Linked DNA regions of Drosophila melanogaster. The protein of the gene in region 2 interacts with the protein of the main gene of each other region in a biochemical or structural test. Each region holds a gene or a part of one and is shown on either strand. Other genes may lie near its edges.

The links.
Region 1: of the proteins of foxo (region 2) and Lrrk, one has a biochemical effect on the other in vitro, tested with the Drosophila melanogaster proteins (one study listed by BioGRID).

What each region holds. Positions count from the first base shown.
Region 1 is NT_033777.3:20,633,716-20,640,519, forward strand, and holds the start of Lrrk (Leucine-rich repeat kinase), read left to right. Parts: upstream 1-1,764; 5' UTR 1,765-1,922; coding exon 1,923-1,941; intron 1,942-2,100; coding exon 2,101-2,373; intron 2,374-2,383; exon of another isoform or gene 2,384-2,472; coding exon of another isoform or gene 2,473-2,560; intron 2,561-2,625; coding exon 2,626-2,785; intron 2,786-2,847; coding exon 2,848-4,107; intron 4,108-4,163; coding exon 4,164-6,038; intron 6,039-6,098; coding exon 6,099-6,584; intron 6,585-6,653; coding exon 6,654-6,804.
Region 2 is NT_033777.3:14,053,310-14,062,100, forward strand, and holds the start of foxo (forkhead box, sub-group O), read left to right. Parts: upstream 1-3,635; 5' UTR 3,636-3,715; exon of another isoform or gene 3,716-4,119; intron 4,120-4,431; 5' UTR 4,432-4,798; intron 4,799-8,791. UniProt on the Drosophila melanogaster protein: Transcription factor involved in the regulation of the insulin signaling pathway. Consistently activates both the downstream target Thor\d4EBP and the feedback control target InR.

The sequences.
Region 1 (6,804 bases), 6.6 Mb from region 2:
GCGAATAAATAAGAAGGTGGCGCCGGGTTACTTGAAAGAAAACATATGGCGATATATGTACCGATAATTGTTTTGGTGTCGAATTACGGAAATTACTAAAAATCAACCGCCCACCCGTTGATAAGAAGGCGACCCCTTCCCTTGGCTTTGCCCTCGAGATGATCAGAGATCTGGATAACATCCATTGATGCACTGTAAAACTGAGTTGGTTCTAACCGCCCTTTACCACATGGGATAAAATAGAAAAGCAGCCTCTAAAATCGTCGGTTCTTGTTAATTAAAACAAAAACGCTGACTTTTATTTAGTATGAATCACACAGTCATAAGTTGTTGGCTGGGGGTGGGAGGGGTCAACTTGAAAACAAAAACAAGAATTCAGGGTCAGCCAAGGCGACCTATGAATGCCCTTACGTGTTTTTTTTTGCAATTTTAGGCAGTTGAATGACTGAAGTAAGCAGGATTTATAACGAATTCGATATGGCCGTTGAAAGAAAAGTTTCCATAATGAAAATCTAAGCCATTAAGGCATATTTCAGAGCCAAATGTTCAAATTCCGTGACCGAACGGGTGGAGTTGATACCGCGGAAAGGGTATAAAAAAGTTACGCGGCACCGATGTCTCATCTCTAAGTCGCGATGCCACAAAAATGGAAATTGCAGACAGTCAGAAAAGTCTTGAAAAGCACACGGATTGGCAAGTTTTCATCGAAGTTTCACTTGCATTGTGGCGCAGCTCGTTTGTTTTTGTTTTTTGCTTCCATTTTGGCCAGCCCTCGCCTTTATAGCGATTTTTTTTTGGGTGTGAGCTGCGCAGTTTACGCTGCTCCTTACTTGATTCTCTGCACCGGCACCTTCAGTTGGCCTCTGTCGGCCATTCCGCGGTATTGTTATTTTTCAAACGCACCGTGCAATCGGCTCAAATTTGTGTTCGATTAAGGAATATTAAATTGTTTTTATTTGTATTGTTGAGATCGTGCTGTTAAGCGTCTGTTAACGAACACAGGGTGACTCCTGTTGAACACAGGGCGTTCTAGGCTGGCGCTGGTTAATATCGATAGTGTTTCATTCGATTGTTATATCGATATAGGTTACAGTTGGCATCAGTATTTATAAAATATACACAAATACACGGTGCTAATAAATTCTTGTTCGTAAACAGTCATAACAGGAAATTGCATGTTAAAAAAAAAATAAATAAAAATAATTAACAGTTCCTAAGAATCAAATTCTTTTAGATAAAATCATAGCATACAAAATAAAATTCAACAAAAAGTAACAGTCGATAGTGATTCACTGCTTAACTGATTTAAATAATATCGATATTACTGTTGTTGAGTTGACAAGCAGTGCAAAGTAACAGAAACGATGACCACCTTATCGCGTTTTGGTATTTATATATGTATGCTATCAGAAATGAGATATTTCAGCATCAGTTGGGATTTCAAATATTTCACTTGGGAACAAATTTTTAGATGTGTATGAATAAAAATAATAAATGCGTCTTCCAAATACTTGTTCGGCCTTGTTAAATTAATTTTAATTTATAAATTTAAGCCAATGGACATAAAAATCAATGATTTTGGGTAGATTATGATTTAGTTATTAAGCTGGCTTTAATCTTTGGAGAAAAGTACGAAGCCCCCTGCGTGCGACACTGATTAACAGCATTCACTTGCGATATTTCGGTCACACAGAGCGCTTAACAGCATATCGTGCCAAAATGAGGAGATATATTCTAAAACAGTAAGAGGTTACACTGTTTGTTGACAAAAAGGTAAACAAAGTGAAAATTTCGCAAAATGTGCAAAATAATTAAGTAAGGGTCAGTAAAAGGTGCTACTGGTTAATCGGACCATAACAACTACCCATTTAACACATACCATGCATGACTTGGATATCTCGTGAAGTACACAAACCAAAACAATGAGCGACTCCGACGAAGGTGAGATAACACAACTTTTAGTGAAATTATGCACAATATGCTAGTTTTGCGCAAATTTAGTCAGAGTGCAAATGAGCATTATACGCTTGACTATGCAAATTACCTAAGTGGTGCAATTAAAACTTCAACCAGTTGTTATTGGTTTTTCAACAACACCAGCAAGGGCACAGGGTGACATTGGTGCAATGGAAGTGGGCGCGCAAAAACTTTTTTCAAACAGCCACCCCCCACAGAAGCAACTGGTGCAACCACTGGACCATCCGACACCCACGAAGAGACAAATCAAAACAAATGCCACGCACTCACCCAATGCCACATTCTTGAACAAGTGCAACAGTTGCCGCGCTTCTTGGGCTCCGACTTGCGCAGTGCGACATAAAACGGCCTGGATCAATGACCACAAAAACGTGGCCATCGATTTTCCGCAGTTCAGTTTTTGCTAGCGGCGCGTTCGGTCATCATACCGATGCCAATTAATTTTTGGGGCTTATTCGCACCGATTTGGGTTACATAATGTCATGGAAATTCAGCATGGAACATCCCAAAACTGGAACTGAAACAGCTCTGGAAGCCTGTGACTACTTCGTGGATGAGGTCATTGAGGCATCCTCAATACGGGGTGGGAATTGGTTTATTCCAAAGGTGCTGTGTATTAGTTAACCAAGCAAAACTTATCTTTCACAGATGCCCGCGAGGAAGTGCGTCAGATCAAGCACGGGGAGCTGCGAACGGCAGTGATCTCTGGCGATGAGCGGACTGTGCGGGTGCTGCTGGCAGCTCTTGGAACTGAGCGTCAGATTATAGTCAATATGGCTCCTTCAGGAGCAAACACCCTTCTATTCCTGTGAGAAAAAGTCTTTTAGAATTAGTCCATTTTGAGCCAAACTAATATCGGTCTCGTTTTAGAGCCTGCCAGTCTGGTTACGAGAGCATTACACAGCGATTGCTGGATGCTGGAGCGGATGGTCGCTCCCATGCCGTGACCAAGTACTCACCCTTGTACGCCGCCGTCCATAGCGGTCACTTGGGCATTGCCCGACTGATGCTAGACCATTTTCCAGAACTGATCCAGCAGCCGACTGTAGAGCGCTGGCTGCCGCTGCACGCCGCCTGCATCAATGGACACATCAAGCTGCTGGAACTCCTTATCAGCTACAGTTATCCCGACTACCTCTACCAGACATATCGCGACGAGGAGGGCCAGTGGGAATGGCGGCTCCCCTTCGACGCTAACGCTCATGATGTGACGGGTCAGACGAGTCTGTATATTGCCAGCATCCTAGGAAACAAGCAGCTGGTTGGTGTGCTTCTAAAGTGGCAGCTCCATTGCCGGCGTACGTTGGGCGATTCCGCCAGCTCGGTGAGCACTCCTATTACGCCCACCAGGAAACGTATTTCATTTGGCATTCAGGCTATCATGTCCAAACTGCACATATCTGGAGAGTCAGAAGGACCCGACGACCTAGCTTCACAAGAGTCAACCGAGTGCCAACGGTGTCCCATTAACGTGAATCTGCTATGTGGAGCGGCGAGAGAAACAGCTCTGCTTGCGGCCGTTCGAGGCGGCCACCTAGACGTGGTGCAGTCTCTGCTACAGCACGGCGCAAATCCGAATATTGTAGCCAAGCCAGTTGAGGATCACAACGACCCGAAATGTTGCGAGGAAATATATGGGCTCAGTAATGTCCCCATTGCAGAGGCCTGCAAGCAAAGGTCGCTGGCTATGTTGGATCTCTTGCTTAAGCATGGAGCCCGCGACGATAATGGCACGGCCATTGGAATGGCTATTACATGCGGCGACGAGGCCATCCTGAGTCGTCTTTTGGCCCGACGAGTCCATCCGGACTCAGACTACAAGATCAACAAGAAGGGTCTTCCCACACCAGTGGAGGTGAACGTGTTTTTGCCGTCCACCAGCAACATATCTTACAGTGCTATGTTCCCCAACAATCCAACCATTATTGACTGGCACAGCATGGGCTCCAGTGTCCAGTTGTCTGTTGTAAGGGTTCCCTGGATGGTCAGCGGTGTGTTGCTGCTGAATCCTAAGCTACAGTCGCATCCGCGACTTAATGAGGTTGCTCTGACAGCTATCACGCGAATAGATTTCTCGCACAACGTTCTCACGTCAATTCCACAGGAGCTTTTCCATTTGGTTAGCCTAAGGTTAGTAAAGACAAAGTAATAAGTTTTTCAAGAATTATATTAGTCCTTCATTTAAGGTATTTAAATGTGGCGCAAAACAAGATAACCGATCTACCTGCACCAATAGGCCAGACATATGGGTGTCCGGTACTGGATGAACTCTTTCTACAAGACAACCAGTTAACTACGCTGCCAGCCGCCATCTTTCACCTGCCCGCCCTATCTATATTGGATGTTTCAAATAACAAACTGCAACAGCTTCCCTTCGACCTGTGGCGTGCACCCAAGTTGCGCGAACTTAATGTGGCCTTCAACCTATTGCGGGATCTTCCTGTGCCGCCAATGCAAACTAGCAGTTCGCTGCTGAGCCTAGACAAATTGAATCTGCAATCTTTTGAGGAGCCGCCATCAAACAAACCGCGAAATGTGACTCAGCAACGTCTCACCCATCGCAATCTATGGTCGGCTACTTTGGACATAACCGATAATGACATGAAGTGGCAGCATGAACAAGATTTAGGCGATGGAAAGACAGCTGGTGTGGGCTCCTCCCAGCTAAGTAGCTTAAATATAGCAAATAACCTCTTCACCAGTATCCCCGCTGCTTTGCCCTGTCTGGCTGTAAACCTAACACGGCTGAATATGTCATACAACAGTCTGCGTTCTATGGGACATGTAACCAGTTACCCGGCAACACTTAAGCAGTTGGATCTAAGTCACAACGAGATATCCTGCTGGCCAAGTTTACCGCGAATTACTGAATCGGATCCGCATCTACTGTGCTACAGTTGTGTCCAGCTACCAGAGGGTCGAGATGACGACTACAAGACGGCCTCCTCAAAGGGCAGTAGCTCGTCTGCCACATCGTTTCGCGCTTCGGTGTTAAAAAGTGTTTGTCGGCACAGGCGTCATCTGCGCCTGGAGGCTCTACGCACATTGATCTTGGCTGACAATCTGCTTACGCGCATCCAACTATCAACTGATGACGCCACAACCCTTTTCAATGAAAGTGAGGACGCCGATTGGAGTGTGGTAGGCGTGAACCGGTCTAAGGTGATATTTCCCAACCTGTCTATGCTGGATATGACCAACAATTGCCTGAAGGAGATTCCCGCCTCGTTGCACGAACTGAGCAGTCTGTCAGTGCTGAATATTAGTGGCAACGTCAACATCACGGAACTGCCGCCGCACTTGGGACTGCTGTCGAGACTTTGGAATCTTAATACGCGCGGTTGCCTACTGCAGGAGCCACTGCGCTCTATGATCGAGAGCAAGAAGCACAAGACGATGGACATTGTTGGATATCTTAAATCTATTTACGAAGATGCTCAGCCCTACGCACGGATGAAACTGATGGTGGTTGGTGTGGCTGGAATTGGCAAGAGCACTCTGCTGGACTTACTGCGCCAGGGGGCGGGCTCAGGGTCCAGCTCCAGCTCTCATCGATCGCGCGCCAGCGAAAATCATTGGGCCAAGCGAATGGGACACGCACGCAGCACATCTCGATCTCATCGCCATTCGTCGGCTTCTAGCGCAAACATTTCTACAGTAGGAGTGGACATTGGAACATGGATATGTGAGAAACGAAAGCGAGCACCCGGCTCCCACGGCCCAGTGGTGTTTCGTACTTGGGATTTTGGTGGTCAGAAGGAGTACTACGCCACACATCAGTACTTTTTGTCCAAACGGAGTCTGTATTTGGTGCTCTGGCGCATTAGCGACGGTCACAAGGGTCTGGCGGAGTTGCTGCAGTGGCTTGGCAACATTCAAGCGAGGGCTCCCAACTCCCCCGTAATCATTGTGGGCACACACTTTGATGCCGTTGGTGAATCCATCTCGCCCCAAAAGGCAGAGCAACTGCAGCAATTGATTCGGGAGAAGTTTATCGCCATTCCCGATGCGGAAAAAATTGGGCTGCCACGGGTGATTGATTCCATCGAAATAAGTTGCCGGTAAGTTTTTGAATTATTAATATGACTTCAAAGTCTAAAAAATACCGCTTTGAACTTTAGGACCCTACACAATATCCACTTATTGGCCAACATTATTTACGACACCGCCATGCAACTGCGATCCCCTGGTTCCAAGGAGCCCATGCTACTGCAAAAGATCCCCGCCAGCTACATTGCCTTGGAGGATATTGTGAATGTGATTGCATGCAATCTGCGCGCTGCTGGGCGAGATCCCGTCCTGGATGGTGAACAATATAAGCGCTTGGTCACCGAACAGATGAGATTGCACAACTACAAGAGCTTCCGGGATGCCGCTGAGCTGCAGCAGGCCACTACATGGTGCCACGAAAATGGAGTTTTATTGCACTATGATGATGCTACGCTAAGGGACTACTACTTTCTCGATCCACAGTGGCTTTGCGACATGCTGGCCCATGTGGTCACCGTGCGGGAGATCAACCCCTTTGCTCCTACGGGCGTGATGAAGCTGGATGATCTCCAGATGTTGTTCCGAAGTGTGCAGGTTCAAGGAAATGGAAACAGAAGGTATTTAAATGAGTGTGCATAACTATGTGGTAAAGTATTTTTGTATTAATTAAAATTTCTTTCTTTAAGCTACATTGTCAGTCTACTTAACAAGTTTGAGGTTGCTTTAACGTGGGATTCGAGAACTCTACTCATACCCTCCTTACTGCCTTCGCAGGAGGCAGCTACACCCAATTCAGGAAGCACGGTTAAGCTATCGCAACGATCTCGCGGCCGTAGT
Region 2 (8,791 bases):
CAATAAATTAGAGATAACGCTTAAGCGATATTTTTGCATTTTAAATGCCACACGCTACCGTGAGGGGGGGGGGGGCGGTGGTTGGAGGGAAGGGGGAGGTTGGAGAAGTCGAACCGGTACAGTTATTGGAAATGGGTCCAGTACTACGACATCCCGAAAGCCTTCACATCGCCGTCTACAGAGTCTGCTGCTCACATGGGCGACGAAGTGGGGGAGGGTTGAGGTTTAAAGTATTTTTATAAGTATTAGATATTAATATTAACGTACTAATAATTGAATCAATTATTACTCTGAAACTAACTTATTTATTTTTAGTATACTTCCAATAAGCCCCTCCCCTTAGCCCGCTTTCTGAGTACGCCACTGCTCGCAGAATTCCATGTGGCCACATTAGGGGGGCTCGCTTTTGACAAACACATGCGCACATAAGCATATAAGCATAATTCCGCCTGCCAGCGAGAGTTGATGTTGGTTGGGTGTCTTTTAGAGTCTTGATAGCGCCCCATCAACATCAGCGTGCGACTTCGACAGCGACACACCAACGTCACAAAATCTCGTTTTAGCCAAAGTGGCAGTGGCACAGCAAATACCGTTTCGGCCACAGTTGATCAAGCGATTATTGGGGAGGTGTTCGGTATTAGGTCACCATTGCGAAATGCTTTAATAGTGACTGATATGTATATGTATGTATTTGAGTAAATATATTATCTAGTATTCTTTGGCGCATAAACCACTTCTAAATCAATTAGGAATCACAATTTCTACTATCGCTGCCAACGAGTTAGGAAAACAATCGTGTTTCTTACTCCCTCGCACCATCTCACACTTGCAGGGCTGCCTAAAATGGTTGAGTTAACAAATTGTTAGTAACAGTGTTCAAATTTCCATATGAAACAGACACACACTGTCTCAGTCTTTGCTGGTAAACAATCGTCGGGCGAGTCAACTGGAGTCCAAGTTTGAGACCGCTATAATATGCCAATATAGCAATATACCACCACCCCCTTGCCATTAACCCCTTCGATCCATCGACGATATGCCAACACAGGCGAGACATTAAAACAGAAATTATAATTTTTTGAAGGCCAAGCGTGTGTAGAGCCACTCCGGATCGGCTCCACTTGATTTGGATCGCCTGGCTTTACTTTGGATCGAATTAGCCGGAGCATCTGGTGCTAATGCCCTGCTAAAGGGTGGCGTTTATGTTTTTTGCACACTACTCACTAAGTGCTATTAAGATCTAATAAACTGTATTGATAACGATGATAGCTGGTTGTACAACTGGGCGTATACGTAATTTACAGAGTATTTAACTGATTATCATTTATAGCAATGAAATTAAATAATTATTTGATATGTGCTGCGGTTAAACAATGTTCTTTTTTTATGTAGTTAAATAGTTATAGTTAAATAGTTTTTAAAATGGTCTAAATCTAGTTCTATCTAGTTCTAGAGAGTTTGCCAAGCATTTAGGCAGTTCGAGACCTTTGAAACTTGAGCGTCGCTTGTAGAAAGAACCCCTTTCGTTTTCGGCACTCTGGCGCCCAGAAAAGCTCCTTTCGAGATTTGGCGCGCAGTTTGAAACCTGAGTTTAGTGCCTTGCGTGTCCAGTTTGTCAAATTTGGTTGTGATTACGAGACGGAGACCGAGACGGCGACGACAGTTAGCCATTCGCCACGCGCCAACGCAAATGAAACGCTCTATACATATTTTTGTATATTTTCTGTTTTTTTTTGCCGCTGACAATTATGATCAAGTATTAGCTGGCGATAGCTGAAACGTCTGTGTAATTTCAATGGAATGGAATGGGAAGTGGGCGGCCTATTGATACACTGCTCGAGTGATTTTAACTTTTATCTGATCATTCAAACGCATAAATTAGTCTTGAGAACTTCAATTCATTTGATACTCCAGTTAACATGCTATTTACATGCTCATTTAAATGGTAGTAGTGATTTATAAGCCCACTTCCAGATGGAACTTACCTATACCAACGTGTTACTTATCGTTCTTAAGCCAACTTAATAGCATTCTAAAATATATATGTATCTTTTGGCGGACTTATCTTCTTGTTGTTCTCGCATTCCAAAATCTCTATGTACATGCAAACTTTTATTGTCATAACTCGGGACTTTGCAGACTTTGAGGCCTATTTAATAGAGCTATAATCTTACAACAAAAAAAAACTAAAAGAGCTTTTTAAGCAATAAAAATATTCTGAAAAATTACAAATTAACAAAAAATTACCCAATGAAGCCTGCAAATTTGAAATCTTTAAGATCCTAGATATGCCAAGATGCACCCTAAAGTCCTTAACTCATCTCCTTGGCTCGTTTCTAATCCCCCCTCTCGAGGGATCGAGACGATCGCATCGGGTCGGTCTTTAAGTTTGGATGATCCATAAACTGTTGGTTTCTCCGTCCTCAGCGTCTAGACTTCATTAGCCGTGTAATGTTGCGGAATTTATGTGGCAGGCACATTAAAATAACACCGATACACACTCTCATGGACGCGAACGTGTGTACAAGTATAGAGATATCGGGCCTAGGCGAAAAATGAAATTAAAAAAAAAAAAAAAACTGGCACCGGGAGGGGCTTATTTTTCGGTGGTCGGGGATGCGGGGGACTTTGACCATAAAATACATGCTCCCAAAAAGCTCGCACACTGCAAGAGATGCGGGGCACTTCTGAGTCCCATATTCATATGCACAAATGTGCATTGCTGGCATTATCAGTAGAATGCAATTTCGGGAAATTTTCCATCGCATCACGAGACAATGAACGTAAGAGAGAAATGGAGCCTCAAAGAGGGAGGGAGAGAGAGAGCTTGAGTGAACGAGCGAGCGACAATCGCGAGATAACGGCTGCCTTATCAGCAATGCCGACCGCCCCATCACCCCACCCAAAACGCCCAACCACCACCCACCGCCGCCGTTCCCTTTCCTCCATCGTCGAGAATTTCGAGTTCAGAGCAGCGCGACCGAAATGAAAAGAAACAATTTAAATTCCAAATGTATAAAATAGGTAAACTATGGCTTTTATTTATTAATATTGACGGGGGCACAAAGGCGGTCACCTCAATAGTGAATAACATGTTTTTTATAATGAATACTTTTCAAATTGTTATTAATATGCAATGACGTCTTAAATGTTTCACTGCAGCTGAACTTTATTCTTTTCATTAAAACAGTCACCCGTTATTAAAAATAAATAGATTAAGTTTTATATTATTAAATTTGTAAGTATTGAAACAATTCCTTTTTTATTTTATACGAATTATCATTTAGTTGGGGTTAATATCCCTTAAAGAGAGAAATTTGTATGCTTTAAGATTTAAAATATCTATTGCATTTATAGCTATAGCTATAACTTCTCTTATTTCACGCAGAAAATACTCAAATAAAACATATCGATTTGGCATACCCCACTAATTTTTTGGCCCCAAGTGTGTGAGAGTGTGTGAGACGAAGCGCGCCACAAACATAAAAAAGCGGTGAAGTGAGCGGTTGTGGAACGTGAGTGGATGCTAAGAGCAAGCTCTCACATACGCGGACATAGGTCGCACACACACACGCACAGACCGCCTTTTTGCGCCGCCGAAACGAACACTTTTACGAAGGCGACGGCGAATCAGTTTCAGTTGTCAGTTCGCATCCAACTAGAAAGCAGTTAACGAGTAGTCTGTGTTTTTTCGCTTGCGGTTAAAAGCCACGAGGTCGTTCATCGTTCATCGTTTTCCTTTTCAACTTCAAGCAAAGCAAATATAAACCAATGCAAAAAACGCAGTGATCTTTTGAGGCCCAAATCGTTTGGGGCCGAACACCGTTGATTCTAAAACGCAAATGTAGAAACAAATCAAGAAAGTGGAAAATAAATATGTTTCGCTTTCAAAACATGTGAATGTGCCGAACTCAAAACTGAAACGTAGAAGGAACGCGTTCGTTTTTTACATACGACAATCGTATAAAATAAGAGAAAAGCTCCAAAACGTATTAAATAGCGATGCTTGGATGATCTTCGTAGCAGTCACGTTGTACATACAAATACATACATATGTACCTACTATATGGCACATAAAATACGTTACGCACACTAGTGGCGAATAAAAAGCGAATTGGAGTAAGCTCCGAAACGTGTTTATATTAAAATTTTTTACCCATTTGAACTTTAAACAACTTTTCGACTGCGCCGCACGGTTTTCATTGAATTCTCATACGAATTCCAATTAAGTGTTGTGTGTGCGTCCAATTGGCATGAATTGATGACGTGACGTGATCGCTCTCTTCGCTCTCTCCCTCTCTTTCTTCGGCACACACACATACACACACTACGCTCTTTAATCGCGCCGCTCTCTTCGCGCTCTTTTTATTTGTTTATTTTGATTGTTGTTATATATATATTCTAATTTACCGTTTTTACAATCGTCTTTAGCTTAAGCAAAACCGCCGCCCAGCAACAACAAGAAACCCATTTAATGAGTGTGTGTGTGTGTGAGCAGAAAATTATGCCAACAGAATTCTAAAAAATATATATGTATATATTTAAATAACCACTAAAAATCAAGAAATCCGCACAAGTTTCGCTCAAAACAACAACACAATCATATATACTACCCATAAAAAAAAAACAAACCCATAAAAAAGTGCAAAGCAACCAGGAAAATAAAGTAAAACAGTGCCAGTTAACAACAGCAAACGGCGATCAACAAATCCCACCGGCAAAATCAACAATTTTTTAAATCGCAATCAACAAGGAGCAACAAATTAGCCAGCTATTTCCCATTGCAAACATTTGGCGGGTAAATATTATTAACAATTACGAGTAGGTGTACTTGATTGAATGAAAAATGTCATGTTTTTTAAGTTCCTAAATTCGATTCGAATCTAATCGGCAATTGATTGAAATATTCTAAAAGTCAAATTTTGTTTCGTCACGCGATTAAAAAAGTAATTGAAGCAGTGCTTTCCTACACATCAATTAAAATTTAAATTAAATGGTATTTTATGTTGATTACAACAACATTTTTTTTAGTCGCCACAATAAAATATTCATTCTTCCGTGAAATATTTCCAATATAAATTGCTATTGCTATATTTATAAAAATAAGCTTTGATAAAAGTTAAGAGGTTTAATAGAAACTAGAGTTAGGTTCTTTTATTTATATTGGTGTTTAGAATTTTAGATAGGAAAGCTGGACTTTTTGTTGTGTTAAAGTAGTCACATCTATTGAATTTACGACCCAAATTTTAATACAACCGATAGGGAATGTGATTTATAACCTTATTCGAGTAATTCCTAGTTTCACTTTCAAGATCAAAACGACTAGAATCATAAAGTCGGTCACGTTCGGCGCTGCAGTGTCGCTCCAATAGATGATCTTTCAGTTCGTGTGGGTTTTGATTAGTCCGTTTTGGTGTGTTACTTGTCATGGGAGTGGGCAGGGGAGATCTTAATTAGAGCAGCGCTGATAATGGCTCTAAAAATAGAGCCCCAGCGCCACACTGATAGCAGAGCTTGAAGCGTGTGTCGTTTGCGTGGAGCTCATTTCTTTCGTTCTGTGTTTGTTTGCTCCCCCGATTTTCGTATGCGATCCACTAAGGTCGATTTTGTTGCCATATTTTGCCAGCGATCTCGTATACGCACCGTTTTCAGATGCTTTTGAATATTCTCTTGACATCAGTATTGACATTGAAATGTGATTAGGTTTAATTTTCATAAATGGGTTGATTCGCCACTCGGTTAGCTGTCGAAAGAGGCTTTTTTATTCCCCATTTACAGATAAGGCTTTTATCTATTCGCAATGTGCCAAGGTACAACAGCAGCTGATGGCCCAAAAAAAGTGTACATATAAGCCTATACACACATCTGTATAGTCGTCCTATGTGCTTGCGATTGTGACTTTTATCATATCTTGAGTGTTTGCTAGCCACATTGGTGGAACGTGCCAGTTGATAACAAGAAAGTGTGCGAAAGTTTGTCTAAAAAGCTGTAATTGAAGCAGGGAAACCGGGAAGTCAATTAATTTTGAGAGACAACATTAAACGTATTCTTCGTATTCTAGTATTCTTCAAGAATTAGTAAAGCTCTTACTAATAAGCTCGTTTGAGAATGACGATAAGTTATATCGATAATGTCGATTTTACCGATAACCGAAAAACGTTAGTAATGGAAATTTAATGATCATTAAATGAGAGCCACTACATATTGTTTTGTTTAGAAAGATATAGTCGGAATACCAGTAGTTATTTCTTAGTATTATTTTGTGATTTTTAAATATTCTACTCAGATGTGTAGAACTTTTTTTCGAACGCTTCTTTTTGCTTAATTTATTTCGTTTTTCGCGCCGACCCCAAAAACGTTAGTAATGCAAATCGATTGCGTTTGCGAAGTCAGATGATCCCATCCATGATTTCCATGCGTCAGTTGTCCCAGCTGTCAATCGAAGATCGCCGTTTGGGGGCTCTACGTTCCTGGTTGACTTCGCCATCGGTCGAGTGGAATCGAATCGTTCGTTTGCTCTTTAATTATTGTAATGAATTCAATAAACATTGCAGGGCCTCTGCCGTTCATTTGCATTTGCGTTCGCACTCGCTGCATTCTGAACTATTGCACATTGCCTGGTCGGGCCTCTCCTTCTCTATATAGCGATATATATGTATATGTATATGTATATATAAATATATAGAAATCTACATATGTATTCATTTATATATATGTAATTCTCTATTTCTCTTAGTTGCTCTAGAAGCGCGTGATTCTCTCGCAGATCCACGTGCCGCCAGATAACTGCACTTTCAATAAGCTTTTATTTGAATAAGCTTCCGCGATAATTGACTTAATAAATTATTAAATATTAACAGCGTAGAAAAAACCAGAATGCAATGACTGACATGGCATCTCCTTGTGGATTTTCTAATGCCAAGTTAATAGGAAAATCATGCAAAATAGCTGGAAAGTGCATTAGGGCCCGACTGAGCTCACAAAAATGTCTTAATATATCATTTTCAATCACTGCATTACCAGATTCCTAAGTCTTAGTCACTTTCCAATGATTAATATATACACATATAAATTATTGTTATTTATTTCCCAAAACTAACTTTAATATCAAGCAAAAACGCAGTGGTACAGAAAACCAACAATTAAAGCACAGTACAAATAATATGAAAAAGAGCGCAGATTGAAAGTGCCACAAAAAAGATTTGTTGTCCAAGGTTTATGCTTGGCATTGTAAAGGGGTTATTGTGGCGTTGCTTGGGGTCAGAGGTTTGGAGGGTGCCCACCGCGATAAGCAGCTGGTCGCCACAGAGGGAGAGGGATACAAACAGATAGAAACGGGTGCCGGCGAGTGGAGCTGCTGCTCCACATGGCAACAGTTGCTGGCTGGCGGGGAGTGCATAAATATGATGTGCATTGCTTTCGTTTCAGCTCTTTATCGCTTCTTTATCTTTGGGGTTGCGTGATAAGAACGCACTCGGAAAAAAAGCGACAGCACAAAGTGTCGACAGGGAATTATTGGGAATTATTACAGGGAGTTGCGAAGTTGAAAACCTTTAAAGTGAAATTAGAAAAGTGAATCAATTATATTTTTTATTCAACAAAAAAGGAAGCTTAACTTAACACAAAAACACTTAAAGCCCGATCAAACTTTTACTGTAAGATTATAATAATAATACCAGACCAATATAATTTTAAGTCGATTTTTTTTCAATATTAGGCTTAACTTTCCTTTAACCGGAAGTTCGCCCATGTACCGTTTTAACCTGAAGTTATAACTAGTCCCTTGGCAAGCCGAACTCGTCGCTCTCGCGTTATATTGCTTTATCAGCAGGTTAGTCCATGACGAGTTGATATTGCTGGGCATAATTCACTTTCGAAGGCAAAGGTCGTTCGGTTTTATGGAGGGTGACACAGCACAGCACACACATTTTGAGATCCCCGGCACACCGGAGTGGCCGACAAGTGGGTTCGATGTGGCCTCGTCATCGTCACCGCGCCATCGTCATTATTATGATCATCATGGGGTCGCGAGGTACTTGAGATCATGGGCCTGGAACCGAACCTGGGCTTTGGGATTGATACCGTCGCCGTTGTCGTCGTCGTCGTCGTCGCCGCCGTCCTCTTCATCTCGAAGTCGGCTCATTAGGCAGGGTAGACCGGACCAGATTGGTTCAGACCATACCAGTTGCTGTGCTGCTCGAATACCTACCTCCTCATCGACGACCAGCTGTCAGTCTTGCTTTTTATTTTCTCTGTTTTTGGTTTTTTTCTTTTCGTTTTTCGATTTTTTCTTCTTTTTTTTTTTTGGCCGAGCATCGGGCTTTTCTCGCATTGACTTACTTTGCTTTATAATCCTGTTTGACGGGTTGTGCTGCTGGCTGCTGGGGTGTAGATCTCTTTTACTTCCACATTGCTGAACCCGGTCATGTGTGATGAGAGGGGCAGGTACAGCGTTGAGCAGCAGCATGGGAGGAAGGGTGAGGAAGGGCCATACCTGAGATTCAGGGGCACCACGAGATGGTCCAGTCTCAAGGCACAAGAAATCACATGGTTCGTTCGCCGAAGTCGAGGGTTCTTGCAATCAAGGAGCATCTGGCGGACACCTTTCTGGTTGGCCAAGTGATCTTGAGAGCGCAGCTCCCCGCCTGATAAGCACTGAGTTAGCAGGGACGTGGGCAAAAGTAGGGCTCTCTAGGAGTAGTTAGGAACTATTAAAAAAAAGCAATAGAAGATATTAAATGTAATGGAATGCTATCATTTCAAATATGTACAAATCTGTTACCAAACTTCT